4 linked regions of the Tamandua tetradactyla genome follow. The protein of the gene in region 1 purifies or fractionates together with the protein of each later gene. This does not show direct contact. Links are inferred from orthologs where the notes say so. Each region holds a gene or a part of one and is shown in the gene's direction. Other genes may lie near its edges.

What was found.
Region 2: the proteins of HNRNPU (region 1) and RPS29 fractionate together in Homo sapiens (co-fractionation; 3 studies listed by BioGRID and IntAct, with this or other methods). This does not show direct contact. The link is inferred for Tamandua tetradactyla from reciprocal best matches to the Homo sapiens genes HNRNPU and RPS29.
Region 3: the proteins of HNRNPU (region 1) and DDX5 purify together in Homo sapiens (affinity purification with mass spectrometry; 3 studies listed by BioGRID and IntAct, with this or other methods). This does not show direct contact. The link is inferred for Tamandua tetradactyla from reciprocal best matches to the Homo sapiens genes HNRNPU and DDX5.
Region 4: the proteins of HNRNPU (region 1) and KPNA2 purify together in Homo sapiens (affinity purification with mass spectrometry; 3 studies listed by BioGRID and IntAct, with this or other methods). This does not show direct contact. The link is inferred for Tamandua tetradactyla from reciprocal best matches to the Homo sapiens genes HNRNPU and KPNA2.

Annotation. Positions count from the first base shown.
Region 1 is NC_135333.1:16,458,677-16,466,020, reverse strand, and holds the start of HNRNPU (heterogeneous nuclear ribonucleoprotein U), read left to right. Parts: upstream 1-4,337; 5' UTR 4,338-4,565; coding exon 4,566-5,253; intron 5,254-6,139; coding exon 6,140-6,251; intron 6,252-6,340; coding exon 6,341-6,414; intron 6,415-7,344. UniProt on the Homo sapiens protein: DNA- and RNA-binding protein involved in several cellular processes such as nuclear chromatin organization, telomere-length regulation, transcription, mRNA alternative splicing and stability, Xist-mediated transcriptional silencing and mitotic cell progression.
Region 2 is NC_135340.1:3,111,267-3,118,321, forward strand, and holds RPS29 (small ribosomal subunit protein uS14), read left to right. Parts: upstream 1-4,855; 5' UTR 4,856-4,929; coding exon 4,930-4,991; intron 4,992-5,217; coding exon 5,218-5,317; intron 5,318-6,391; coding exon 6,392-6,400; 3' UTR 6,401-6,547; downstream 6,548-7,055. UniProt on the Homo sapiens protein: Component of the small ribosomal subunit. The ribosome is a large ribonucleoprotein complex responsible for the synthesis of proteins in the cell.
Region 3 is NC_135332.1:5,711,960-5,719,898, reverse strand, and holds the start of DDX5 (putative ATP-dependent RNA helicase DDX5), read left to right. Parts: upstream 1-4,939; 5' UTR 4,940-4,963; coding exon 4,964-5,130; intron 5,131-5,464; coding exon 5,465-5,630; intron 5,631-5,973; coding exon 5,974-6,070; intron 6,071-6,150; coding exon 6,151-6,284; intron 6,285-6,405; coding exon 6,406-6,471; intron 6,472-6,696; coding exon 6,697-6,838; intron 6,839-6,915; coding exon 6,916-7,076; intron 7,077-7,514; coding exon 7,515-7,687; intron 7,688-7,939. Other genes in the region: CEP95 (centrosomal protein of 95 kDa), read right to left, coding at 252-359, 1,623-1,751, 3,135-3,153. UniProt on the Homo sapiens protein: Involved in the alternative regulation of pre-mRNA splicing; its RNA helicase activity is necessary for increasing tau exon 10 inclusion and occurs in a RBM4-dependent manner. Binds to the tau pre-mRNA in the stem-loop region downstream of exon 10.
Region 4 is NC_135332.1:6,063,714-6,071,392, reverse strand, and holds the start of KPNA2 (importin subunit alpha-1), read left to right. Parts: upstream 1-4,669; 5' UTR 4,670-4,777; intron 4,778-7,679.

The DNA of each region.
Region 1 (7,344 bases):
ATGCTATGGGAATCCTACAGACAGCAGCTAAGCAGTTGGTCAAGATGGCTGGCTCCCCTTGTAGTTGTCCTAGTGTCTCATAGCATCCTTTGCAATTGCTTATACCTTGACTTCTCTCTCCAAACACTAAGCTCCTGCCTGGTACTGTGTCATTTGTATCTGTATTCCTTGTATATGGTACAATACTTGGTACATAGTAGGTGCTCAGTATATATTTGTTGGATGCATTGGGACTATGTGTGCGTATATGTTTGTAAATATATTATGTAAATGTATCTACATATACACTTTACTGCCATTCCTGGATCAGCTTTCCATTTAGTATAGCTGTTGGGCCACATCTAGATGAGGGTTTTGTGTTAGTTTCCCACCTGGTATGACGAATACCACACACTTCGTTGGATTAAACAGCAGGAATTTATTGCTTTGGAATAGTTTTGGAGGTTGAAAGTTTGTTTCTGCCTGGGGCCAGTGGTGCTGAAGGGTTGGCAATCCTTGGGGTTCCCTGGTGTTACCATATAGTGCTGTCCTCTTCTTTCTCTTCCAGGTTTCCACTAACTTCTAGCCTGACTCCTCCCCATGGCTTTTTCTTAGAGTCAGCAAATAGGGAACTTATAGAAAGTTCTATTAAGTCTTTTAGTCTGTTCTGCATGGTTTATAGAGGAGGAAACTGATGTCCAGAAAGATCACACAGCTGATTATAATGACAGTGCTGGGGCTAGAAGTAAAATCTGCACATTCTTGCTTCCACTATTTCACTTTGTTGCCAAATTGAAATCTCACCATGAACAAATCACTCACAATTTACAAAATATGTAAAGTCACAATTTCCTAAATAATATTTAACAATCAAATCACGGATTTTCTTAAGTTTATTAACTTGCCAGGCATATCTAATGAAGACTATGTGCCACGCACTGTACTCAAGGTTTTATATTCATTACCTCCTTGAATCTTCTCAACAACCCTATGAGGCAGCTTGTCCAAGATCACACAGCTATTATGTGGTTTAGCTGGTATGGAAACCAGGTCTGTCTGATTTTAAAGCTTGCACTTTTAACTGCTATTTGGTACATCCCCCTTCCAATTGGGTTTTCTTGTTGGTCTATTTGAAAAATTGTCTTAATTTATAATAACCCAAAGCTACTTGTAATTTCTTATATCTTTTGTAAAACACATTAAAAAATGTATCTAAGCATATTTCTTGCTTCTTTCATTATGCTAAATTGTAGTATACAAAAAATACAGAATTAAATGGAAGTGTCATGATAAATGAAGTGCAGGCTGATTCATTAAATTTAGTATTCCTATCAGTTCATGTCATTTCTTTGCTAACAATCCTTCAGTGTCTTCCGTCTCACTGAAGGCAAAAGTCGAAGTCCTTACAAAACAACCTAGAAAACTACTGGCAATCTGAATCTTTTCTACTATCTTTCCTTTCTGATCTCACTTCCTATCACACCCCTCAGGCTTCCACAAGGTTACCCTATATGTTAGGTTTCCCTGATTACCACATTTATAAATGCACCCCACCTCAGCATGCCCTGCCCTTCTCCTGCTTGGTTTTTCCCCTGTAGTACCTGTCATCTCTACTTTATTTACTGACTAACTTTCCCTGAGAGTGAAGGCATATTTATATAGATCACTGATCTGTCAGCAGACCAGCGCCTGTCTTAGCTCAAAAATATTTGCTGAGTGAATTGTGTGACAAAACAACAGCATTGCTTCAACCTTAAAATGTAAATTATCTATCTGGGGTACCTAACTTTGTAATTATCTCTGCTACATCAATTATCCAGGGGTAATTAACTAATCAATCACTTGTTTGCCATTGAGAATTAATTTGTCCCCCTTCAACTGTGCCTTCTTGGTAGTCGGCAGGATTTTAAAAGGGGGTAATTTCAAGTTCCTTATAGGTCCCTCAGAAATATAAAGTAACCTCACTTTTAGTCAACTTTGTAGAATAGGACTGTCATGATGGTATAAAAAATAAAGCAGAATGAGGGTGCACAGCTGGTTCAGTGGTAGAATGCTTGTCTTGCACGCAGGAGACCCAGGTTCAATTCCCAGACCATGCACCCTGCCCCTCCCCCCAAAAAAGAGTAAAGTAAAAAACGACTAGTAAAATCAAGTCATGATTTGTACTTTCAGTGGTAAAATATGTCTATGGTACATTTCTTCCTTTTAAAAAAAAGAACCAGTAAGATGATGGTTCTCTGAGCATTTAGAAAAACTGGTTTCTTTTGAACGCTGTCTAAGGGAGCCTACTGTAATGTACGAAAGAGGATCGGCATGGGGGTGAGATCTCCACTTCCTTGACTGTGGAATGAACAGACTGAAGACGATCAACAGGCCCCATCTGGCTCTAAAAGTCACAAAGCTCTTGGAAACAAGGCCATGGATGGAACTTTCTAATGTGCATCTAAAGATAGAGTTCATGTTCATTCTTTTTATTTTTTGAATTATTATTTTTGGCTTTTTTCCCTAAGACTTTTTATTGATCATCACAATCGACTTTTTTCTTTTTCTGTAAAAAATAATATATATACAAAAAACAATACATTTCAAAGCACATCGCAACATATTTCATGTTTGTTCTTACAACTGATTTAATGTACCCCAAACAACTGTTGTAAATCTATCTATTTTGATAATATATCTAGTTTTGGGGCTTATTTTTTTCAGCTAAATTGAAATTGTTTTCATATCACTAATACCTAAAAATGTAACTATTACCTAAGGATCTAAGGATAGTTACACATTTAAAAGACTTAGTTGTATTCAACCCTGATTCTCTAACGGACTAATTATCTAATTTGTGAATGTGTAAGCTTCCTGTAGCTCTTTCAATTTTTGATCAAGGGCAAAGAAAGCGTTCAAATTCCAGTTTTGTCACTTGTTTATAAATTTCAAGGATATATAACCAAAGGCTAAAACCTGTTTGGTTCTGTTTTGGATATTATTCCGATCAATTCAAGTCAACTTGAACCAAGAATTATCAGCATTGTACATAGTTCGCTAATTTCAACTTAAATCATTACATAAATGTTGGTATTTTATCTTTACACATGCCTGCATGGCAAGGTACATGCTTCCTAAAAACTATCAAAAAGGAACTTTAAAAATAAAATGTATTAATCATCAAATCAGACTAGTCTATGAGAGAAAGTTAACCACAGATTTCTACACTTCCAAATTTCAAATTAATATTGGGGCATTATTGTACCAAACAGATCTCCTGGGTAAACTGATCTCCTTAGAGAGTACAGTGGCTGGTCACTGTACAGACTCTCCCGGGTTATCACAAATCTATTTCCTTGTAACCCCTACCTAAAACTTCGAGACCATACCAGTCCTTTCATTTACTAAAGAGAAAACATAAACTTCTAAAAATACAACAAAAATTACCGATTTCCTTTCCAGCGTGACTATTTTTTTTTTTTTTTACAAAATCATATTTTTCACCAGTTTCTATAGTTTCAGCATGATTTGATTAAGAAGTTTCATAGGAGTAGGAACAGAATCAAAGTGCATGACTGCTCTCCCCCTCATTGTTAGCTGCTGGGACTGCAGACCGCTCCTAAATTTGACAGAATAAACATTATAGAAGAGCCGTCTTTTTGGTAGGTAAAGAAAACTCACAAATGCAATTCTGAGATCTATCTATTTGGCTACTAAAACATGAGAACAGTTGCCATGAAGGCCTGTAAAGTTTATTTGGCAGCGTGGAATACAGGATCCCAAGCCCTGCAACAGAGGTTGTGGAAAAGACAAAAGAAAGGGCTTCTGCCCTCACCCTTCCGGCACTTAAAATCCAACTCCCCAGGCAGGACTCGGTAAAATTAAACAAAAAAATTAAGCGGAAAAATACACCTCACGCACATAATCAAAGCTAATTTGTGAGGTACAAATCAAACTTGAAATAAAATGTGGAGGAGTTTTAATTTGATAGAGGACAAATATCTAAGAATGCAAATCTAAGATGGAAGAAAAGGTGGAGAGTTCGAGTGAAATTAAAGACATATGGATAAAAGCAGCGTCCAGATCGGACTGACAGAGCAAAAGTAGTACTAAGGCACTGGAAGGGCCGGTAGGCTTCGGCTTAACCGAGAGACGGTCGACCTTCCTCCATTTGCTCGGTCCGTGAGGAACGGCGCCGCGCGGCCTGCGCCGCTCTCCGAGTCTGGGACGCGGCGTGGGGGCGGGGAAGTAAGTACGGTAAAGAGGATGAAGGGGAGCGCGCGCGCGCCGCGACTTTGCTGCTGCGCAGCACTACCGTAAGGCTGGGGGGCGGGGCGACTATATTACGTGCGCGGCGCCGCCCTGCGAGAGGACGTTGCGTGCTCGCTCGCGCCAGGCGAGTCTCCGCGTCTCCCTCGCGAACTCGGTGAAAGGAATTGGCGCCGTTCGACACCAGGCGGGTCCGCTCTGCAGCACGAACCCACCTCCAGCCGCAGCCGCAGCCGCCGCCCGGGCCGAGGAGCAGCCGCACTAGCCGCCACCAGTGGCCGTGTGAGCGGAGCCGAGTTTGAACCAGCGCCTAGCGGTGAATCGGGGCCCTCACGATGAGTTCCTCGCCTGTTAATGTAAAAAAGCTGAAGGTGTCGGAGCTGAAAGAGGAGCTCAAGAAGCGGCGCCTTTCTGACAAGGGCCTCAAGGCCGATCTCATGGAGCGACTCCAGGCCGCGCTGGACGACGAGGAGGCCGGAGGCCGCCCCGCCATGGAGCCCGGGAACGGCAGCCTAGACCTGGGCGGGGATTCCGCCGGGCGCTCGGGAGCAGGCCTCGAGCAGGAGGCCGCGACCGCCGGCGATGAAGAGGAGGAGGAAGAAGAGGAGGAGGAAGGGATCGCGGCCCTGGATGGCGACCAGATGGAGCTAGGGGAGGAGAACGGGGCCGCGGGGGCGGCCGACTCGGGCCCGATGGAGGAGGAGGAGGCTGCCTCGGAAGACGAGAACGGCGACGATCAGGGCTTCCAGGAAGGAGAAGATGAGCTCGGAGACGAGGAGGAAGGCGCGGGAGACGAGAACGGGCACGGGGAGCAGCAGCCTCAACCGCCCGCGACGCCGCAGCAACAGCCCCAACAGCAGCGCGGGGCCGCCAAGGAGGCCGCGGGGAAGAGCAGCGGCCCCACCTCGCTGTTCGCGGTGACGGTGGCGCCGCCCGGGGCCAGGCAGGGCCAACAGCAGGCGGGAGGTAAGAAGAAGGCGGAAGGCGGCGGAGGCGGCGGTCGCCCCGGGGCTCCGGCGGCGGGTGAGTGCTGCGTTGTACGTTGCGCGCGGCGGGAGGCCCGCGCGGGGTGGGACCGTGCCCCAGGCCTGCCGGAGCCCCGCCGCGGGGAGGGAACCCTGGGCTGGGGCCGCCGCGGGGGTTGGGCGAGGGGGGCGGGTGCGGAGCCTTTTCCGTGTGCCTATCCAGGTGGGGAAGGGGGGTTGCGGGTAATTCTGGGTTCGTAATGAGGCCTCGGGGTCGGTGTGTGTGACGGCGGCGGTGGCGCCTCCATTATGTGACTCAAGAGCCAGGGGGAGCTGCAGCTGCCGCTGGAGGGGGAGGAGCCACGGCGGGCGGCGGGAGGAAGCCCTGTGGGCCAGCGGGGGCCCCGCCGCGCTGCGTGTGCGCGGTGCGGGCACATGCCTGGGGGGGGAGGGGAGAGGCTCGAGGTCCCGGGGCGGGGGGTGCCTCAGCGGCTCTTGGGCGCTGTATTGTGCAAGGAGCGCAGGGTCGAGGCGTGACGTCACTTCCGTCGTGAGGCGCCGGGCGGGGAGCCTGGGCGGAAGATCAGTACAATGCGGCGGCGGGGCGCGCGGGCTGGTGGGGGAGGGGCGGGCTGGGCCGCGCGGCGGAGGCTCGCCCCTCCCCCCTTCCTGAACACTGTCGGTGCACGTGGGTCCAGGATTTGCGCCCGACTATTTTTCTTTCGTTTTCTCGGATCATCGCGTACACGGCAAAATTAGTTACGTCTTTGGACTGCGTCACTAACTGGTTGAATTCTGTGCTTTGATTTCGCGTTTGATTCGTCGATTGAAAGCTCTTTACGGAATAAAGGATGAAGACAAGGTCTTGCGCCTCAAACTAGGAAAGGATTTTTTTGGTCACTCTTTGGCGGCTTGGCTTCTTATAAGGCTGTTGTGTATTGTAGGAGACGGCAAAACAGAGCAGAAAGGCGGAGACAAAAAGAGAGGTGTTAAAAGACCTCGAGAAGATCATGGCCGCGGATATTTTGAGTACATTGAAGAAAACAAGTATAGCAGGTAGAGGATGGTAACCTAGTTTTTTTTAATCATCTATTCTTTGTTGGTTGACGGGAAAAGCCATATCAGGAGACAATTCTTTCTTTCAGAGCCAAATCTCCTCAGCCGCCTGTCGAAGAAGAAGATGAACACTTCGATGACACAGTGGTTTGTCTTGATACTTGTAAGTGAAGCCATTTCTTCCCTTCCTCCAGCTCCAAATGCTGTGGTTTGGTTCTACAGTGTTACAGACGTAATGCTGTACGTCCAACCTAAGTTCAGAAAACAGTAAAAGTAGGAGATTATGGTGTGTATTCATTCTTATAGCTTAATATTTAAGTACAGCATCAGTTGTATTGGTAATTTCACATGCTCTAGCGATTTTATAATTTATATGACTTGAAAGCTCTTATGCTTAGGAATGTAAAATTAATGGCAATTTTTTACTAATTACCTAATGGAAATTTGTGAAGTACCCATAACTTATACTAAGGCTTCTACAGTAAAGTAATTACGCTTTTTTTGTAGAATTATAATGTGAGCTATTTGGGCTAGTTAAATATTTGCTAATGACCTTTCCCATTAGCACACAAGTTTATTCCCTATTCTAACGAAAGATTGTAATACTATTTTTTCAATAACTGCTGTTTTGTTCTCAATTCCAGTTCAGTAGCTGCTGCTTTAACATAAGTTGATTTCTTCCAAAGACCTGGGGCAGCAGCAGTGGGCTTTCACTGGGCCACTAGCTTTCTTCAGCAGCGAATGGTATCAATGGCAGCACTGTAAATTCTGCTACTTTACCCAGTTGGGTTGCAATTGAGTATGAGGAAGTATTGCAAACCTATAAATGAGCCATGGCTGTCAGATTTATAATTTTACTATAAGTAATTACGTTGGTTTGGTATTTGATAAAAATGAAGTTATTCATTGTAATAAGTAGAGCAGAGGGTAGAAATGATTGAAGTACAAGTAGATAGGTGTCACATCGCCCAGTAGATTTAAGCAGTGGAAGCTTAAATTTCCATGAATTAGAAGTTGTATTTATTCAGATTTGTAACAGTGTAAACATTAAATTTTTTATTTCTTACCGTATACCATTTATAGGTAGTTGAGA
Region 2 (7,055 bases), on another chromosome or scaffold:
GCAAGGGAGCCCCGGAACTAGCGACCAGCAGATGCCATCCACGTGTCTTTCCTGATCTGCCTTCCTTGAGCCAAGGTATCTTTCTCTGGATGCCTTAGTTAGGACGTATTTATGACCTTAGAACTATGAACTAGTAATTTATTAAATTCCCTTTTTAAAAACTGTTCCATTTCTGGTATAGTGCTTTCCGGCAGCATTAGCAAATGAATACATCTGGAGGCCGGGAAGTTCTGGTGGCGCAGCGGGCACAAACTGTGCTGATGCCTGAGGGAGAGGGTGGGGCTCAGGACCATTTTCTCTCCGGATGAGGCCGATAAAGCGAAAAGCACCCTACCGCTTCCTAAAGTGCGTCTTCAAGGGACAGAAACCTCAGCATCATCTGGACAATCGTGGCAACTTACTGGTACATCTGAATTGTTTACTGTTTGTTCATCGATTAGCAGAGTCCAGGAAAAATGCTTTGGAGGAATTAATGTGGAATCATTAAAAAGGAGCATGTTCTGGCTACAACAAAGGGAATTCTAAAGGGCAAAGGTTAGAAGTCAACGAACACATTCGTGGAAACTGTATGATGCGTTATTTTAGGTGGTAATAGAGTAAAAGCACTTTCTACATATTTGTTGATTTTGTGGATTATTAAAATACTGGCTGGTTGAGGGATGTATATATTTGTGTTATTTTTACTGGTATTGAGATATCGCCAGTAAACACACAGGACTATTTAACCTTTGTTGAAGAGTTATGTTTTATTAATTTTCAGTGGCTTCTGTTTCACTTTTGCTTCCATTTTGTTGCAATTGTAAATGTTTCTATGTAAAAAAGGAAAGCTAGCTTATTAAGTATTGATGAGAGGTACTTCTTAGAATTAAATTTATATGTAATTAAATTTAGTCACAATTAGCTATGGAATTAATCATTGAATAAAGACAGCATATAGTCAAATCTAGGTGCATTTTAAATATTTTAACTTTTTAGTGACTTCACATAAGGAAGTCACTTTTTTTGGAAATAAAAATGTATTTTGTAAGTTAGGCAATGCAAATTATTGATTTTATGAGGAAAACAGCATTGTCATTGGATGATAAGCTATCTTCAAGCACCAAAAAAATGCAGAAATGTTACCAAGCTCACCCACATCACTAATGTTATTCCGCTCAGGGGAGATTTATTCAGTTAATAAATATTGTTACAACTTTTACATTGTATTCCTTTAAGTTATGTCACACTCCTTGTGCATTCCTATTAAACTGGTGCTTTTAGTTGCAATTTTTCTCTATTTTGAACAGAACTCATTTCTTTATAAATTAGGCAAAGATTTTCAAAATGATGGTTAAAAATGGAATCACAGTAATCTATTGACTAAGAACAGCTGAGAACTAAAGAGACGGGCTATTTCCAGCCTGCAAGGAATCTAATCTACTTTTAAATTGTGTCAGTAGTAATTTCTCAACTGGAAGATTGTGAACATTAACAAGGTTTTCTTAAAACCTGGTGTTTTCAAAACCTGGTTTTCTTAAAATATTTTTATTGGGAAGTCTTCACACACATTAGGTCCATCCACAGCAAAAAAACCAGTTTTAAAAGTAGCTTTTTTCTCCTTCTCCAAACTAAAAGATAGAGATTATGGAGGTAGCTGACTTATTTTATTCAAGTCACTTTGTTAGCCCTTTATTGCATATCATATCCAATAGTTATCATTTTTAACTTTTTATTTTGTAATATTTATAGATTTCACATTAAGTTGCGAAGGTAATACAGGGGTCCCATGTGACCTATACTCAGTTTTCTCCAATGGTTACATCTTACATAATTCTAGGACAACCTCAAAACCAAGAATTTGACATTGGGACAGTGTGCGTGTGTGCAGAGTTCTGTGCCGTTTTATCACGTGTGTAGATAGCCACACCAGTTAACATATGGAACTATTCCTTCCCCACAATGACTTCCCTTGTGCTGCTCTTTTGTAGTTAAACTTAGCCCCCAACTCCTCCAGCCACCATCCCTAATGCCTGGCAATCAGTTATCTGCTCTCCGTTTCCATAATTTTGTCAATTTGAGAATGTTAAATAAATAAAACCATACAGTACATGAATTTTGAAATTGGCACTTTCACTCAGCACAACGTCCTTTCCATCCATCCAAGTAGTTGCATATATTAGTAGTTTGTTCCTTAAATTTAATGACTGAGTATCACCCCGTGGAATGGGTGTGCTGCCAACAGTACAGCCATTCGTTTTTTGAGGGTCATTTTGGTTATTACCAGTTTTTGGCCGTTGCAAATAAAGATGCTATGAACAGTCATGTTAAAAAATAGTTTAGTGTGAAAGCATGTTTTTATTCCCAAAGATTCTAAAATTGAAGGTAATTCCAGAGAGATGCAGGTCTTCAAGTGATAAAAATTCTGGAAGCATCATCAAAAATAATTTTAAAAATAGTTTGAAGGAAAAATTTTGAATAATAGTGTCTTAACATGCAGATCATACCAATGGCTTAAATACAAAAATAAAATCTATGCTGTGTACTGTTGGAATGTTTTAATCTTATAAATGTATTTGATTTTTTTGAAAACAAAATATCAATTGGGGTTGTTTGGGCAAGGAGATTTTTGCAGTTTCTCTTTGTACATCACCATATTAAAAAAAAAAAGGAACCAAACTCAGTAAATATTATATTATGGGGGAGATGTGTTCAAAAAGAAGGAGAGATTTAAAAGTCAAATGGCTGAGCACTAGGAACCTATAAGAAGAGTACAAGATTAAGCTCAAAACTCTTTATAAACCCTGGGTTTGTTAAAAGGGACTTTTAAAGCTGTGTTCTTGGCTCTTATTGAAAAAGAAATTGATAATCCCATTGTTTGGGGTAGATGGTGCCACTTTACCTGAAAACTAAAAGGAAATATGAGTTCTCAATTGCAGTTTGCAGTATCTCTATCAAGAAGAATAACTTTTAGGCCAGAGTAAACATTAAAAACTACTTGATATCAAGTAACTAGGTGCTTTGGTTTGTCTTTTTTTTTTTTTTTAATGAGTTCACTTCTCTAGGCCCAAAGGATTATATCACAGAGTATTGACAATATTTATGGAATCAATTGCAGAACTAGGGGAATTATTTAAAAGTTATGGAGAAGGACACCAATCAGGAAAGACTTGCATGAGAAAGCTACAGAGGGGTAAATGTGAGATTATCCTTTTAGAGGTAGAGGATTTTGGAAACTACACTTCATTGATTTTGATATGCATTCCATGTAATGCTGGAGAAGCCTGACATTGGACTTTGGCAAAATCCGGCAATAATATAAGGTATGTGTTCAGCCTTATTTATCACTAGGCCTCCTTTTGTGCATCCTTCATACGGATTATGCAAGGTTGTTTGCCTTTGCCAAGCCTTTTCCAACTCAATTCTTTGGCTCAAGGCTCTTCCTTTCACTGGGTATTTGCTTTCATTAAAAGATGACTTGTAAATATCCCATTCTTCAGGGCCCTGTTATCTAAGGCCCTTTTGCTCTTTTTGTACTTTATAAGTACATCCAAAATATTCTGCTTAGTTATATGCATGATATTGAGTCACAAACGTCGAAATTGGAAGGAAGGGCTCTTTGAGATAATCCTGTTTTCCTCACTAGATTTGCTAATTTGAGGGCAACGATGAAATCTCCCTTTTGACTCTGAGTCCCCCTTAATCTCTAAATTCCCCCCTTCATAATATAACACAGTGCCTAACTTAATGACTAGCGTGTCTTGGAAATGACATACTTCCAGAAATACTCTACTTCAGTTCTGAATCCAGCAAGCTTCTTGGATTCTTGCACACTGCAACATTTTACAGGTCCAATTACAGCTTTGATATCATAATCTGTGTTTAAACTAGCCGTGTAAAACGCAGTCAGCTTTATTTGCAGACATTATGAATGCCCACGTGGAGTTCAGGCATCTCTCAGCAGAGTAATCAGATGGCCTTTACTTTTCATTATTGCTTTGTTAAGAAGTCATCTGGTTAAAGTAGCATCGCAGATTTGATTCTCACTTTCAATTCAATTTAACTATCGAACACGCTAAGGGTCAAAGAGCCTCGCATCACCTTTCTGGACTGTAGCGGCTAAGTGCATCTTTTTGGAGGAATGTGCCCATTAAAATCTTTTTTTTGAAAAGGTTTTCTGTTTAACGAAACAGAAACTCCTAGCGTTGACTCCCAATTATTACAGCTGATTTTAGGTTGTTTTTTAAGTTTACCCCGGTAGGTGCCAGTGCGGAGTTGAGGCAAAGGCATTCTTCCAAATGTAGAATTCGAACTGAAAGAATGTGACGGGGGGGTTCCAGATACAGAATTCGCACTAAAACACTGCACCGGCGTCCCCCGAGAAGGTGAGGACGCCTTGGAGGGTCAAGGGTCCTGTCCCGAGGGCGCCAAAAAGACGGGGTCTCGCTATGTTGCCCAGGCTGGAGTGCAGTGGCTATTCACAGGCGCGGTCCCACTACTGATCAGCACGGGAGTTTTGACCTGCTCCGTTTCCGACCTGGGCCGGTTCACCCCTCCTTAGGCAACCTGGTGGTCCCCCGCTCCCGGGAGGTCACCATATTGATGCCGAACTTAGTGCGGACACCCGATCGGCATAGCGCACTGCAGCCCAGAACTCCTGGGCTCAAGCGATCCTCCTGCCTCAGCCTCCCGAGTAGCTGGGACTACAGGCGCGCGCCACCACGCCCGGCGCTCGCGGCCGGGGCCAGGGCGAACTAGAAGCTAACGTGCGCTGACGTCACCGGTCGCTGGGCTCCAGAACGTCCCCGAGATCTGCTCTTACCCGGACAGCGTTGTCACAGGGCGCACGCGCCAGCCAGCAATGCATCATGGGTAAACCCTGTCCCCCAAAGCTTGAAGAGCGCATGCGCACGCTGCCTCTCTCCTTTCCCTCGTTGCCGCCCTGATAGCAAGATGGGTCATCAGCAGCTCTATTGGAGCCATCCACGAAAATTCGGCCAGGGTTCCCGCTCTTGGTGAGAAACAGCATAGAGTCTGGAGAAGGGTTGTCTGGGTCGCGAGGCTCCTGAAATTTAATGTGACTAAGCCCGCGGGCAGCGCGTGGAGAGGCCGGAGTCGCCGCGCGGTCGCCGCCATTACAGGCCTGTGAGGCCCGGAGGCCGGGCGGGTGGGGGCTGTCCTTCCGAACGGTGAACCCTCGAGTTTTCGAGACCTGCACTGACACCATTTCTTGTGTTGCAGCCGCGTCTGCTCAAACCGGCATGGTCTGATCCGGAAGTACGGCCTCAATATGTGCCGCCAGTGTTTCCGTCAGTACGCCAAGGATATCGGCTTCATCAAGGTGCGTGTCCGCAGACCCCGGGCCGTCCTGACGCTGAGACGTGGCACAGTTACTAGTTCCCTCGGTGACCGCCCGTCCTTCTCTTTTATGTAGTGGGCGCCTTCCTTTGTAGCGGGTGACACTGTTGGAGGGTCTGGTAGCTGTTCTCCCATTCGGCAGCCAGACCAGTGGAGTTAAGAGGCTGGAGGCTTAACAAGAGTCCCTCTAGCCTTCTTTTATCCCTCTGCCACTTGGGTGCCGTGTCCTCTGTTGGATAAAATTATCTAGTGTCCACCACGTTAAGTAATTAATTGGCCTTAGGAGTACCTAGACGTTTTGCAGCCAAGTATATTCGTTAGTTACTGACCAGAAATTTTAGATAGCGCCGTTTACTGGAATGAGCTCGAGATCTGGGACCAGGTAGACCTTGTCAGAATTCTGCAGCGCAGAGTCAGCCACCTGAAGTGCAAGTTAAATCCTTCTTTGCTCTTTGAACTGCAATCACGAATTTTCTGGATCATAGTTGAGAAAATAACATGTTTGTGTTGATGTATTATAGTGGGTGTAAACTTGTGAATAAGAGATAGTCCAGAAGAGACAGAGTATCTTTTAAGCTTAAGCTTTTAACGTCGACCAAATACCCTGTATATATTTGGTTTTACTATATGGCAGTTCAAGTATAACTCAGTGGGAAGAGGCAGGATATCATAGATGAGAGAATGAACTTTGACATTTGTGAAACTTATACAATATAGTGTCTGGCATACATTGAGTGCCAAATATATTAGCTGTGTAAATATAGTTATCTAGTTAGTAACCATTTTGAACTTTTGATAAGGATCATTTTATGCAGTAGTGTTCTGATTTGGAATGTTTCTTTGAAGAAAGAATGTCAGTACTAAAAATTAACAGTCTAAGATGTAAATGTTGAGGTTTGTGGAGCATCTTCTAGGAGGCATTCAGTAAATATTTGAACATTTAGCTTTTGGTAAGCTAGGCTGGGTGGGTCTTGTTTCTGTATGTCAGTGTTTGTGAGAAGATGTTAGGAATTTAAAGTATTTTGTAATTTATTTCATGTTTTTTTTTTTTTTCCAGTTGGACTAAGTGATCTTCCTTGATCTTCCAAGACATCTACCTGACTAAGGAAACTATGCTAGTTATTTGTATATAAATAAAACTAAGAAACTAAAATTATGACTGTTTTAATGTGAATGGAATAAATTGGTTATAGAAGTCTTATTTTAAAATTTATTACCTTCCCATTTTCAGTGGTTTATCTTTGAATTATTTTCCCTAGTTATATAAAAATATTGGTAGCGAACTCTGGTAGATGCCAGTGTTGGTTTTATCTTTAATTTAGAAAATGGTACCTTTGGAGAAAACAGCAAATTAGTTAATTTTCATTTTCCACTGTTTTTATTTTTACAATTTGAAAAGCATGTGAAAGTGCCTGCAATGTATGTATGCAAATGTCATAACAAACTTCTCCTGAGTAATTAGCTCACTACAATGAGCTGGGGCAGTGGTAGCATGGAAAAGATGTTAGAAATGTGCCTGTATTTGCCTGGAGATTGTAATCCTTACTAGAACACAGTTGGTAAATTTCTCAAATATTTTTATGGGAGCAGTGATTACTGTTAGGATGTGGGTTTCAGAATTTACAATTGGAAATTACTCCAACAGATGTATGTTTGCTGAGAAAAGAAGTGATTTTGAGCAGTTGAAGTGGGGTTGCAGGTTGTACAAAAAAGGGGCACAG
Region 3 (7,939 bases), on another chromosome or scaffold:
AAACACACCTCAAACTACCAGCTAGGATACCTACATTTCAGATGCAGCTTCATTATAAATTCAGTATCTCACTGTCCTATAAAATCTCACATGTATGGTTGACTGAATGATACCATTTGACTTAGTTCAGTGGTGCTGTTTAGCGTATTCCATATGCTTATTCATTTGGTTCAGTAAACAATGTCTAGGGGCCTATCAAACAAATTATTTTAATGAAATGCATAATCATCTGATGGTTAGTATATACCAACCTGTTATGTGAGATAAGCTGACCTGCAGGTAATCCAAGGCCAGTGAATCAATCACTGCTTGCACATTATGCGCATCATCCTCTTGACTCTTGGGAATAGCTATGACATCTGGAAAAAAGTGACATAATTTTGCTTCCATGAGGGTCCGAATTTTTATCTATTCATCTCTGACTAGATTTCTTAATAAACCCAACTGCTATAAAAGTAGGTTGTGCCCAAAGAGAAGAACTGTATAAAATCCAGATAAAGTCACAGCCTGATTACCACACAGGAGAATCTTCATCTATTCAACTGACATACATACATACATACATACATACCGTACAACAAGCACCATGCTAATGGAAGATAGAGGGGTTCCTAAATTCAAGGAGATGCTCATATTCTATTAAAGGAAGAAAAAAGGTAAGACATGAGGCGAGACTTTAACCTGTAACTGTGGGCTACTTTCCCAGGGTACCACTAGGAAAAAAAAAAAAAACAGTAGTATGAATGAAGGACTCTTACATGTCCTGCTATAGCAGCCTATCGAGAATTACGGAACAAAGGTTTAAAAAGTCAGCTCAAGAGCATGGAAAGGTTTTACTATCAAGTTAAGTTTGGATTTTCTCCTCTGGAAAAAAGAAGATCTATGTTTTGGGGCAGGATAAATTATTTTAAAAGATTGATCTAATAACTATATGCCAAACATAATTAGAGAGTCTCAATTGGATGAGACTAGTATCAAAGGCACCCACTACAGGCTATTACATCAATTCAGGAACTGAGTAAGGGTACTGGTTCATTGTAACAATGGGAAAGAGAGACTTCAGATCTTATAGTACTTAATGGTTATAAACTACATAAAGAGACAGAGGTAGTTGAGGAATCTATGGATAAACTATGAGATATTCAACCTGGGATACAGCAAAAATCACATGGTACCCCGAAAGAAATGAGCAAGTCACAACTTACAAGATGATAGGACATATGAATTTATTAACGGTCTCCTTGGTAAAGTAGGTTAATAAAGTACAAACAACAATTTTCATCTCTAATAATGTTTAAGTAAAAAGACCCAACAAATTTCTGAGCTCTACTCAATTTTAGAATCTTTGAAGGTACATCTGCAGAAAGGGTATGACTTTCATATGGCATTAGGCGAAATTTGATTAACGAGTGATTACTGAGAACCAACTGATTTAATCAAGGTTGTTATTATGGGTGGGTCCCATAAGGTATTTATTAAGGTGATAAATGCAATATTTAGATAGAAATAAGATGTAGCTAAAGAGAAAATACAAGGTTTTAAACAAAGGATCTAATTAAAGGGATGAGAAACTTCTAGTTGAAGATATAGACACAATTACTCCTGCTTTTTAGTACCCTTACCTGGTACCCTTTCTCCCAAGATTGATTGATAAAGAGCAATAAAAACTTCGGCATCACAATCTTCAAGTTCATGTATCCTCAGATGTATATGACATTTTGAAAGGAGATTATTTGCAATAGTTATCCACTCTGTTGGGAAAGGAAAGGAAAAGATCAGCCTCGAGTACTAGAAAAAGTCAAATACACATACATTAAAAAAAAACCTAACAAATCCCCAGCAATACAAACACTGAATTCCTTAGAAGACATGAAATTTGTTAAAGAACTTCAAAGACCCTACTAGACGAGACTTTTGAAAAGCAATTTCTTATGATGGCTTCCAGAGAGCTGTAATTTCAATGTAATCAACACTACGATGCAAACACAACTTTCGCTGCTGCAACCTAAGACCTTAGGTTATTTATCAGTGGATTTTATTTTATAATAGGTGTTTAAGTTAACACACATTAACAAGTAAACGGGATACGGCAAAAACAAGACGGTCTGTTAACGAAAGTAATTAATGGATGTGCCTTCAAATTCCCAACAGTTCTGGACGTGTTTTTGGCTCAATTATTTTGCGCAAGTCAGGATTTCTCCGGTGCCCAAATAGTAGTGATTAATTTAGACTGTTAAAGATTGGAGTAATGATAACACCACCACTACTGCTTTGGGTTATCAGATTTAACGTATCCGAAAGAAAATATGGGCAATACATAAGAACATTCCTGTATCCACGACCTAACCTCGAACCAGCACATTACCAATACTGTAGCTCCCTGCATGCTGTACCGCTCCTCCCAGATACTGCTGGCATTAATAAAATAGCTCAAGTGTTTCTCGACCACTTAGAAGGCTTGAAACTCTTGTTGCCTGAAATGACAGGCGATTAACTGGAAAGCACTTTTACTCCTCATTAGATATATCTCTAGCATGTTCTGGAAACAAACGCGCATTATTGGGAGTGGTTTGTACGCTGTCCTGGAGAAAAGGATGAACGCGTCCTAAACAACCAAAGCAATATGCGTTTCAGAAGCCGATGCTAGACAAAGCCGTTAACTCTCTCCAGAGGGCAGTGAAGAGAAAAAACAAAACATTATTCTAGCTTTGGCGGGGCATCAACAGCACTTAAGAGTGCTATTCCTCCAAAGTTCAATTCAAATGCCTTAGTCTCCACAATGCAAGAGCGCAAAGCACACTGGCAGTGAAAAGACACTCAAGAGAAATACAGATTCGGGGAAGATCCTTTCTGACTGCTCTTTCGTAACCTGGATACGGGTGTGTTACCGGCCTCGCCACAGACCATGCCCTCCTCCACCTCAGACCGCTACTCTAAACGGTGACGGAACTAGTCTAGGAGACCCTATTCAAAGGACCGCGGACTGCCAGGGGGTGTCTAACAGTCAGGAGCTCCGCTTTTCAGCCCAGACCAAGATTCACCCCGGCCCCTGCCCTCCAGATAAAATGGACAGGGCGTTCGGGTAGTTGGGTGGCTTCAGTCCACATAAAGCAAAAGTCCTGGCCGAGACTCACCAGCCTCCGAGCCAGCCATGTCGCGGAGGAAGGGAGTCGCAGGACTTGCAGCCAAGTGCGCGGGGACAGTGTCCTGAGAGGGTCACACAGCGCACACACAGATATCGAGGGAGGGAGAACGAAAGGAAAGTGCGGAAAAGAAGAGGTGAATGAGGGAGGGACGTTAGAACGGCTTCTCGCCGCTGATTGGTCATTAGAGGAGCACTTCCTTTCGCATCACGAGCCTAGGCGGCGGTTTGCAGGATCTAGATTCCACTCTCCGTCAGCGAGGTCCAGTTGAGGGATTCTTAAGTGAGTGGAACCGACAGGCCAGATCGCCCACGGGTCTTGGCCGGTGCCCTGGGGAATTAGAACGGCATTTCCGGAAGTAGTTCGTTTTGTATCCCTCCGCTGACGCCCGTTGGAAAGTAGTGCCGTCGGCTCAGCCGGTGGGCGGGGAGCAGCCACGTGACAATATCAGACTCCGCCTTTCCGTCCATTGGTTAAGGGCGTGGAGGCTCTCTGGGGACGTAAACATCTACAAGTGGGGAGAGCGGATTGGCCTGACCTGGCCGCCTTATCTCTAGGCTGGACCTGAAAAAGGGTGGGGTGGATTGCTTAAGATATGTAAAGACGAGAAAAAGGGGAACTCAAGAGAGTGTAGGATGCGGACCCCCAGCGTTTGGTGGGCCCGGACGTGAAAGGAACGAAAAAACCGGCGGCTACAAGGAAGGGATCCCGGAGTGGGGGGGAGGGGGGAGTGGAAGGGGAAGGGTGAGAATATGGCGGATTCCGGAACGCCGCGGGCGTTGCGGCCTCTGCGCAGGGGGCGGGGCGACTAGGTCACAGAGCGGTTCCCAGTGTCCTTTGCGGTGGCGGAGGCGGTCCAGACTATAAAACCGGCTGCCGGGAGGCGGCCGGTACCTCATTCATTTCCCCCGGTGTTTGTTGTGCAGCTCTGGGTCTTGTCATCGACTTCTCTCTGCCGCCGCCGCCCCCGCAAGGCTTCGCCGTCGCGGAAGCCTACCCCAGCGATTCCCCACACCCGATTCTCTCCAGTTCGTTCCCCACCAACCGCAACCATTGACGCCATGTCGGGTTATTCGAGTGACCGAGACCGCGGCCGGGATCGAGGGTGAGTGTGGGACCGACCTGTCAGGCCCGCGGGTGGGGGAAGGGAGGACAAGGAGGGTAGCGGCCAAGGTATGCGGGGTGGAACCTTGCCCTGCCTAGCGTAACTTTGGGCCGCCCCACTCCTAACTTTGCGCACCTTTTGACATTTACCCAAATCTGATTATGAGGGATTTGCGTGTCAACAGTTCTCAGGTCCACTTTTTGAGGGGAGGAGGGGGCTCCCGGACCTCCGCCATTTTCCGCCTGTCATGAGCATTCGGGGGACTGTGTTGTGAAGGGAGGAAAGCGCGACGCTTTGAGGCGGACTAAGTATCCGCCGTCATTAGTTCAACAATTCGGGAGGTGTTTGAGGGGATCCGGAAATTCAGTGGGAGCGAGGGGGCCGTTTCCGAAGCCATCGAGGCGGTGGCGACAGGAGGGTGGCCGGCGCTGCTGGATTCAGCCATGTGGCTGTGCCGCTGGTACAAAATGCCGGCCTCGGACATGGCGGCGGCGCCTTTGTTACCCCGCCCGGCGGAGGAGCTCAAAATGGCAGCGTCGAGAAAATGTGGCGCAGAGAGAAATGCGAGACAAAGGGGGAAGCGCCGCCCCAGCGGGAACGCCGCCTGGCCGACTCCGCCCGGGCCGGGCTCCTCCCCCGGTAGTTGCCGGCTCCTCCTTCTCCTTATTCTTGGGTTATGTAATTTTCTTACCTTGATTGAGAGCTCTTCCGCGGGATGCCCCCCAACTCCGTTTGTTTGCTATGTCCCGGAGCCCCTTGTTCTGCTCTCGATGCTGTTGCGTCATCCATTCTTAAAGCCAAAGCCCGTTTGCTTGGAAACAGCTGTAGAAATAAGGCTCCTCTTCTATCGTTTATCTCCGAAATGGAGATTTCGTTTTTAAGGTTGTGGGAAAGATTTTAACCACAAGCTGTTGTCTATCCTAGATTGCTATCTTAGTAATCTGTATTTGTGGAATTTGAGCATCCAATTTCCGATTTTATTCATAAATTATGGTTTGCTTACTGTTCCTGGCTTTAATGAGGTGTACAGGGGACGACAAGAAATAAGATTTAGGGTTAACTAACTGACTGTTGAGTGACTATCATTAAGGGCAGTAATGGGTTTTGTATGACACACAGGTGCTTTGAATAAAGTTGAATAATCCTTAGTGTGTGCCATGGAATGGTAAACTTGCATAAAAATACAAATGTTTGATTACAAACTTTTTCTTTTCAGGTTTGGTGCGCCTCGATTTGGAGGAAGTAGGGCAGGGCCCCTATCTGGAAAAAAGTTTGGAAACCCTGGGGAGAAACTAGTTAAAAAGAAGTGGAATCTTGATGAGCTGCCAAAATTTGAGAAGAATTTTTATCAAGAACACCCTGATTTGGCTAGGCGCACAGCGGTGAGTGATTTCATTTGGCTTCGTTATTAGGATATAATTCTGACTTACAATAAGTCAGAATCTGACACAAGTGTCTTGCAAATCTAGGGAGATTCATACTTTCTGGCTTCCAGCTTAGGAAAGAGGTGTGAACCATTTCTGGGAACAGGTTGCTTTGAATTTTCTAGTTAGAATGGTTATTTGATAAAATATGTATTCTTGTGCTTTGTAGGTTTTCATGTGGATCTAGGTTGAAAATCAAGGCCACTAAAAGTAGTTTATAAATTTAGGGGCTTACAGTTATATATTTAGGGGAGAGGTTATGCTGAGTCTTACTCGAGTACACTAATTACGTGTCTTTCAGCAAGAGGTAGAGGCATACAGAAGAAGCAAGGAAGTTACAGTCAGAGGTCACAACTGCCCAAAACCAGTTCTGAACTTTTATGAAGCAAACTTCCCTGGTAAGTGTTAGTTTTGAATTTGTCATCTTTACTTTCTCTTGGTGTAACATTTTTACTAAATTTGCTACCTTTGGTTACAGCAAATGTCATGGATGTGATTGCAAGACAGAACTTTACTGAGCCCACTGCTATTCAAGCTCAGGGATGGCCAGTTGCTCTAAGTGGATTGGATATGGTTGGAGTAGCACAGACTGGATCTGGGAAAACACTGTCTGTAAGTTTGGGAACACTTTGGAGTGTTCTCTAAAATATGCTAGATAAAGTGGATTCAGAATAAAAGGGGGAACAAAGAATATTTAAATGTAACTGTTTTTCTTCATCCTCCTCCCACATAGTATTTGCTTCCTGCCATTGTCCACATCAATCATCAGCCATTCCTGGAGAGAGGTGATGGGCCTATTGTAAGTATATAGTCCATTAATTTGGTTAGAAATGTAACTGAGTTGCAAAGATAGGATAATTTCTGTGGTTTTATATGTAGAGAGAATAGTAATCTCACAATTGTCACATTTTGGGAAATTGCACATTTGGAAGAAAGAAATCATGTCTGCTAGTGTAAGGCTTATAAATTAGCAGTTTAAGACTAGGGATCTAGGTCTTATGCTGAAAGCTGTTTCTTTCCTTAGTGCTTGGTGCTGGCACCAACTCGAGAACTGGCCCAACAAGTGCAGCAAGTAGCTGCTGAATACTGTAGAGCGTGTCGCTTAAAGTCTACTTGCATCTATGGCGGTGCTCCCAAGGGACCACAAATACGTGATTTGGAGAGAGGTATGTAATAGAAAAGCTTGTTGTTACTGGTGCTAAAAGTTACGTGTTTGGTGGTTACATTTTATGTTTCACTGAAGGTGTGGAAATCTGTATTGCAACACCTGGAAGACTGATCGACTTTTTAGAATGTGGGAAAACCAATCTGAGAAGAACCACCTACCTTGTCCTTGATGAAGCAGATAGGATGCTTGATATGGGCTTCGAACCCCAAATAAGGAAGATAGTGGATCAGATAAGAGTAAGTGTTTTTTTTTTTAATTCACCTAAGAACATATAAAAACAAACATTTTTAACATAACGAACATTTCATACTTGGTGTACAAATCAGTGGCTCACAGTATCATCACATAGTTGTGTATTCATCACCATGATAATTTCTTTAGAACATTTGCATCACTCCAGAAAAAGAAAAAACTCACATACCATACCTCTTACTCCTCCCTCTCATTGACATTTCTATCTATTCATTTTAACATTTGTTCCCCCCTATTTATTTTTTCATACGTTTTTTACTCATTTGTTCATACTGTAGATAAAAGGAACATCAAAGGTTTTCACAATCACATAGTCATTTGAAAAGCTATATCATTATAAGTGTTGTTAAATATGTTATCATTTCAAATTTAACTTTTTGAAAAAGTTACGATACTAATTTTTTTAACCCACATTTGTTAAGCCTGATAGGCAAACCCTAATGTGGAGTGCGACTTGGCCAAAAGAAGTAAGACAGCTTGCTGAAGATTTCCTAAAAGACTATATCCATATAAACATTGGTGCACTAGAACTGAGTGCAAACCACAATATTCTTCAGATTGTGGATGTGTGTCATGATGTAGAAAAGGATGAAAAGTAAGTTTTTCATAAGTCTTAATTGACTTTAAAAACAATTTTCTACGTAATTGAGGACTGGTTCATATATCTTTTTTTATAATGTATTTCAAAAAAGAACGAAAACAATCTTGTTATGGTCTTAAAAGTGATTTTCAGTTGGGTGGAACCTGAATATGCTTAAAACTAGTCTGTCAGTTCTTTTGGAATTGCTTTGCAGCTTTCAAATAATTTTTCACTATAGCATTTTTATAGGAAAATGAATTCCTACCC
Region 4 (7,679 bases), on another chromosome or scaffold:
ATGGACATTTGCATACCAATGTTTATAGCAGGATTTTTTATGATTGCCTAGAGATGGAAATGGCACAAATATCCATCAATAGATGAATGGCTAAACAATCTGTGGTATATACATACAATGGACTATTATGCAGTTGGAAGAGAGAATAAAGTCATAAGCCTGTGTATTAGCTAGGGTTCTCTAGAGAAACAGAATCAACAGGGAACATTCACAGATATAAAATTTATAACAGTGTCTCACATGACTGTGGGAACACAGAGTCCAAAATCTGCAGGGCAGGCTGTGAAGCTGACGATTCCAATGGAGGGTCTGGACGAACTCCACAGGAGAGGCTCGCCAGCTGAAGCAGGAAGAGCCTGTCTCTTCTGAATCCTCCTTAAAAGGCTCCCAGTGATTAGACTGAGCATCACTCATTGCAGAAGACACTCCTCTTGGCTTATTACAAATGGAATCAGCTGTGGATGCAGCCGGTGTGATCATGATTTAATTCTATGAAATGTCCTCATAGCAACAGACAGGCCAGTACTTGCCCAACCAGACAAACAGGTACTACCACCTGGCCAAGTTGACACATGAACCTGACCATGACAACATGTAACAACATGGACTGACCTTGAGGACATTATGCTGAGTGAAATTAACCAGAAAATAAGGACAAATATTGTGTGGTCTCACTCATATAAACATTAATGAGTGAACTTGGAGAATTGAAGTTAAGAACACAGGTTATCAGAAGATAGAAATAGAATAAAGATTGGGCAATTGGTGCTGAAGGAATAAAGATTGTGCAACATGACTAATTGTAAAAAATTCAGAAATGGGTAGCACAATATTATCTGATGGTAGCACAGTAATATAACTACACTGAATGAAGCTGAATGTAAGTATGATAGAGGGAAAAGGGCTGGGGGCACATATGAAAGAAGGAAAGATAGAGGATAAAGACTGAGATGGTATAATTTAGGAATGCCTAGAATGGACAATGATGGTGATTGAATGTACAAATAAAAAAACATTTTTGCATGAGGGAGAACAACTGACTGTCATTATTGCAGGGTGTTGAAAATAGATGGTATATGGGAAAAAGCACAATCAATGCAAGCTAGGATCTATAGTCAACAGTAACATTGCAATTGCTTCCATTGAATGTAACAGAGGCATTTTGCCAAAACTAAATGTCAACAGGCAAGGGGCATCAGGGAGCAGTATGGATTCTTTGTGGAAGAAAAGGAAATGGCTTCATATAGATTATGGTGGCAAAGGCATGACTATATACTTAGGGTGGATTGTATGATGTGTAAATAAAACTGTTTAAAAATGAACAGAGAGAAACAAGTGCCAGAGAAAATGCAGAGAAAGAGATGTACCTATTCACTGTTCGTAGGGAAACCGAGAGGTGCAGCCCCTTGGAGGGCAGTGTGGTGGTGCCACAGGAGGCTAGGGGTGGGGTTGCCATATGACCCTGAAACCCATTGCTCAGTATATACCTGTAGGAAGTGAGTGTGGGGACACGAATGGACATTTGCGCACTGGTGTTTATGGTGGCAGTGTTCCGGATCCACAATGGATGGAGGTGGCCTAAGGCTACAAGGACTGAGGGATGGAAGGGGGAACTATGGTGTAGACATACATTAGACTACTGACCGGCTACAAGAATGAATGAAGTTGTGACTCATCTAGGCATGCAACTAGATGAATGAACTTTAAGGACTGTCTGTTGAATGAAATGTCTGGAACAAAAAGACAAATATCATCATGCCTCCATCATATGGACTAACGATAATATAAAAACTTGGTGAACTAAAGTCAAGAACTTGGTTTATCAGGTCGGGGCCTATTGTAAAGGCTCCTAGATTGTAAGCTCTTACAGCAGTCACATATATGCAGGAGGGGTCACTGTTAGTTCTAGATTCTGTGATACTGAGCTGTTTGTATATAACCTGGTCATTCCCAAGAACTTCAGGTATTTATGTGACACCTGAGACTGTTAGTTAGAACTCTAAAGCTACGAAAGTCAGCAGTACTCCATACCAGAACTGTTTAAAAAGATGAAAAAGTGATCAGATTGTGTAGAGATTTGAATGAAGCTGATCTGGACTAATGTATATCAGAAGACTGGGTAAAGGATGTTATCATCCATATTTTAAAACTTCAACTTCTCTGTGAGACTAAAGGGAGAGATGCTTATTTGGTGCAAAAATTATACTTTGGGTAGCCCATTTCCTACATGGAATCTTGAATAGGGTGTGAGTTTTTTTGGTTTGTCCTGGTTCGTGTGATGTCCCAATATATCACAGAGTAATTTAGGCAGAATAAAGAAGTATTTGTGATGTCCCCTTGGGGGAATAGGGAGAAAGGAGGATATATTCAATCTTCCCAATTTGGAGAATTTCTGATATTCTTGCTAGCAGTGTGGACCACCAAATCTATAGGCCAAACCCTCAATCTTGGGGTTCACCTCTATGAAACTTAATCATGCAAAGGATGGGCTAAGACTACTTAAAATTAAGCCTAAGAGTCACCCCCAGAGAACCTCTTTTGTTGTTCAGATGTGGGCTCTCTCTCTAAGCCAACTCGGCAGGTGAACTCACTGCCCTCCCTTCTATGTGGGATATGACTCAACAGGGGTGTGAACCTCCCTGGCAATGTGGGTCAGAAGTCCAGGGACAAGCTAGAACCCAGCATCAAAGGATTGAGAAAGCCTTCTTGACCAAAAGGGGGAAGAGAGAAATGAGACAAGATAAAGTTTCAGTGGCTGAGAGGTTTCAAATAATCGAGAGGTCATCCTGGAGGTTATTCTTACACATTATATAGATAATCCTTTAGTTTATGGTGTGTTGAAATGGTTGGAGGGAAGTACCCGAAACTGGTGAGCTGTGTTCCAGTAGCCTAGATTCTTGAAGACGATTGTATAAAGATATAATGTTTCCAAAGTGACTGTGTGATTGTGAAAAATTTGTGTCTGATGCTTTTATCCAGGGTGTAGACAGATAAATACGGATAAAAAATAAATAATAGGGGGGTCAAAGGTTAAAATAAATTGGATAGATGGAAATACTAGTGCTCAGTGAGAGGGAGGGGTAAGGGGTATGGTATGTATGACTTTTTTCTTTTTCCTTTTAATTCTTTTCCTGGCGAGATGCAAATGTTCTAAAAAATGATCATGGTGATGAATATACAACTATGTGATGATATTGTGAGCCACTGATTGTCCACCATGTATGGAATATATGTGTATGAATATTTCTCAATTTAAAAAAATACATATATATATATGCAAATATAAAGAATATGACATTTTCTGGGGTATTTAGAAGCTTTAAACCACTACAGGGGGTAATTTGTTATGTAGCAACAGATAATTAATACATAGCTGAAGTCCTTCAACTTACTTTGCTTTCCAGAGATGATAACTATCCTGAATCTGGTGTTTCTATCATTCATTTGGATGTCTTCCTGTTATGACATACTAACTACTATGGCAAACAAATCTTATATATTGATTTTGACTTTTTTTGAAATTTATACTTCCAAATTTTAAGACTACCGTATAATAAAAACTGGGAAATTTTTCTGGGGACTTCCTTGCCTAAGTGACAATGAAATGCAAAAAGACATCTAGTGTAGAAGTAACGATGACTGAAATAATACTTAAATATATCGAGAACTTACTCTGTATCAGGCACTATTCTAAGTATTAAATCTCTACAACAACATATGAGCTATCCAGTTTTATCATCCCTGTTTTTCAAATGAGTAACTGAACCACAGAGAAGTTAAATAACTTGCCAAAGATTATATAGCAAGTAATTACGTAACACCGAAACATCAGCCACTGCCAGTTCTCTTTATATTAGGTAGGAAGAAAAAGGAAGGGAAAAGAACCATTAATATAAATCACAGCTATTAGAGGCCCCCTTTTCTAATGGCTGCCAAGTCTGAGTTGCCTTCTTCTATCACTAATTCCATGTCCCCTTACCCTCAGCTGGGCACGATTCTTTGCTTGGTGGCGTAACCAAAAATTGATTCTCATAGGATATTGGGGTCATGTCTTTATGACCCCAATAAAGTATAGCAACTTTACTGTATGCTATACTTTTCCATTAACCAGATCTTTCTGGCAAAGGAGTACTAAGAGGTGTCCCAGTGAATCCTGGGTTCTAGACACCCCCTCCTTCCTTCATGCAGTAACAGTGCCTGTTCCCCCCCCCCCATAACCACATCAACCACAGAGGCAAGTCCAGTGACCCCCTTCTCTGCCTACTAATTCAGTGGAGCCCCAAACGACCTCAGCTTCCAGTGCCATGGAACCGTCATGATGCTTCCCCCTCTAAGCAATTCTCTCTAAGGCACCAGGGAGACCTAGAACCACTGAGTCCCAGGTCACTGGCCAGGAAAACAAAAATTCTTCCAGCAAATTAGAGGTAGAAGAGGGAGGGGACACTCCTCCCTCCTTTCCTTGGTTCTTGGACCCCTGCCTCCTGGCAGCTGGTTTACGGCATATTCTGCATCTCAACGGCCAGAAATCCCAACCTCACAGGCTGTTCTTTCCCAGCTGGCCCCGTACCTGAGCCTGCAGCAGGCCACACCCTGCTGGCACCAAGGCAGCTGCTTCTAGGTGACGGGGCACACGGTCAGGGTCAGATCAGTGGAATACGTGGACAAGGGCCCGCGGTCAACCTTTCACTGTCACATGTCCCACGGTCACATGTGGGAGGGACATGGGGAGAGGGAAGGCATCATCTAAGTCTGCTGGCAAGTTCTGCAGGCAAGGAAGGCAAGTTCATACCCAGAACCCGGGTCTGGCCCGGTGAGCCGAGGCTCTCTCCACCCACTGGAGTCTCATCACTGCAAACAAGGGAGCATTGTTCCGCCTCTCCGGGTGTGGCCCGCACCTCTCAGCGCCGCCCTCTGCTGGCCTGTTCTAAGACCTGCAGCCACAGGCAGCCTCCCTCCCAATCCCCTCCGCCTGTTGCTCCCTCACTGATTTGGGTGGCTCCTTCTCCTTTTATTTGAGGAGTTTCTGGTGTCTCTTACTTTCACTGAAGATGATGTTTGTGGTTCTGCTTCTCACCCTCCTTGTGTCCTTTGTGGGATTTCTGAGAGGAGGGGAGAAAAGTTGCAACTTTGCTCTGTCCTTTGTAACAGGAATATCATATAATTTAAAGCAGGACAATTCTGAATACTAATAGTGTATTGTGATACTGACTCGGATGTTTTTTGGCATGCTTAAGTGAGTTGTGAAAGTCTGGATTAATGTAATACTGATTAGTGCTTGTATTTATCCAAGGCTTCAAAAATTAAAATCCCGAAAGATTTGGCATTTGGGGTGAGCAGTAATATATCTCCAATTAGAATATTTTCTAAGTAAAATAAGAATATTACTATTAATGACAGTATAACATAATTAATATGTTATTGATTATGTGTTATTTATTAATATCTGCAGTTAAGATATCAGGAGTATTTATAGTATTCCAGGCCCTGAACTAAGTCCTTTAAATGTAATAACTCATTTCACCCTACAATAACCCCATGAGGTAGGCATCATTATGAATTCAAATTTAAAGATGGTGAAGTGAATACTGAGAGGTTACATGGCTTGCACGCGTGGCTTGCACAGCTCATAAGAAACAAAGCTGAAAATCTTCATTCATAACTACTGTTTTGCTATTCTGCTTCTGAAAAAGACAGTAAAATAGAAAGGTTCCATCAAGAGGGGAGAAGAGAAAGAAAGAAGGGGGATCGTATTAGAATAGCTAGAAGGAAAGAACTGTAACTGTGGAACGTAACCCATTAGCCTTGATTCGTGAACACGGCTATATAATTATATCATTTTTACAGTGTGACCATATGATTGTGAAAACCTTGTGGCTGATACTCCTTCCTTATTGTATGAATAAAAAAAATAAGGATAGGGCGGGCCGCGGTGGCTCAGCAGGCAAGAACACTGACAATAAATAATAATGGGGGTGGTAAGGGGCATGGGATTATTTTGGGTGTTCTTTATCATTTTTATTTTTATTTTATTTTACATGTATTTTGGGGGGAATAATGAAAATGTTCAAAAATTGTGGTAATGCTACGCACTAGAGTAACTTTCCAGAAACCTTTAGCCTCCAGATAAGTCCTGAAACCTAGAGTTCCCAGCGTCTCCAGAACCTCAGATAGTTCTATCTTCCTACCCTATATTAGTGACAGACCCTTCCAAGATGAAAAAGTTAGGATGACCATAGCCCAAATACCCCTAAAGAGAGGGATAGAAAGATCAAAGGTGATGATAGACTTATACAGAGAAGGTAGGGTTTAACAAATAAATATGATTGCTGAATCACTAAATTGATATCTCTTTTAGTCTCCAGTATCTTAGAGAAGCTAGAAGTTAAAACTTAAAATTGTAGAATTGTAACCCACGCCAAACTCCGAAATATGTTCTGCAACTAATTGTGGTGGTGTGCTTTGAAATTTATTGCTTTTTTGTATATATGCTATTTTTCACACACAAAAAAAGTCGAATGTGATGAGAAAAAAAGTATTTATGCCTTCTAACCTCCTATATTCTGGAGCAACTAGAAGGAAAAATCTGAGAGGATGATATGGTAGCCCACGACAAACTCTGGGATTGGTTCTGCGACTACTTGTTGAAGAGTGCTTTGAAAACTACTGCTTTTTTCTTTCTTTGCTTTGTATATATGTTACACTATACAGCTAAAAAGTTAGAAGAAAATTGTAATGAATGTACAACCATATGATAATACTGTGAAACACTGATTGTACACTTTGGATGACTGTAGATTATGTGAATAGATATCAATAAAATTGCATTAAGAAAAGAAGAAAGAAGTAGGCTCATGGCCAGTGTTGGTGGCATTGTCACTGGGAACAAAAATTATGCTCCAAATGCCTTACCTGAGAAAACACAAAATTTCAGCCTTAATCTTCCTTCTATGCAGCCTCTAGATCTTTGTACATGCTAGCCACAAGGCGGGCACGATTTTTGATAAGATGCCCCATTTCCTAATGGCCTCTGACAGAGATTTTCAAAACTTTGTTTCACTGACAATTTTGTCCCCACTTTCATGTATTTTCAACCTAATAGATGATATCATCCCTTGAACAGGGTTCGCTACTTTTTGGAATCCAACAGAGAATAACACGTTCTGAATAATAAAACAGGCAGAAACTTAGAAAAAAAAAGTTGGCCAATGATTATAGCTTGTTCCTGTACTTCCAAATGAAGATGCCCTAACTTCTAAGCATATGACATATTCCGCAAGACCGTATTTTTCAGAGGGCCAAAAAGGTCTTTTAAAACAGAGGGCACTATCTGTCCTAAAAAAAAACAAAACAAAAAACCCCACAACTTTCCTTCTCTGCTGTCTTCTTTTATTCTCTTATGCAAACAGTTCTATAATGATTGCATGGTTTGATGGGGAGGGGCAAATTTTAATCGTATTATCCCAAGGCAGATATAAAAATTGTTTAATAAAATAAACACCGCCACACAAAAGTCATTCTAAAACAGGCAGAAAAATCATTTGGTGATAAGTGAATGTTGATTTAAAAAGTCTTGATGTGTGTGCTGCTGGAGAAAGAAAATGGGATATAAAAATAAACAATATTGCATTTTGAAGGACAAATGCTACAGGTATATCTACAGAGGCGATTATGCAAAATAA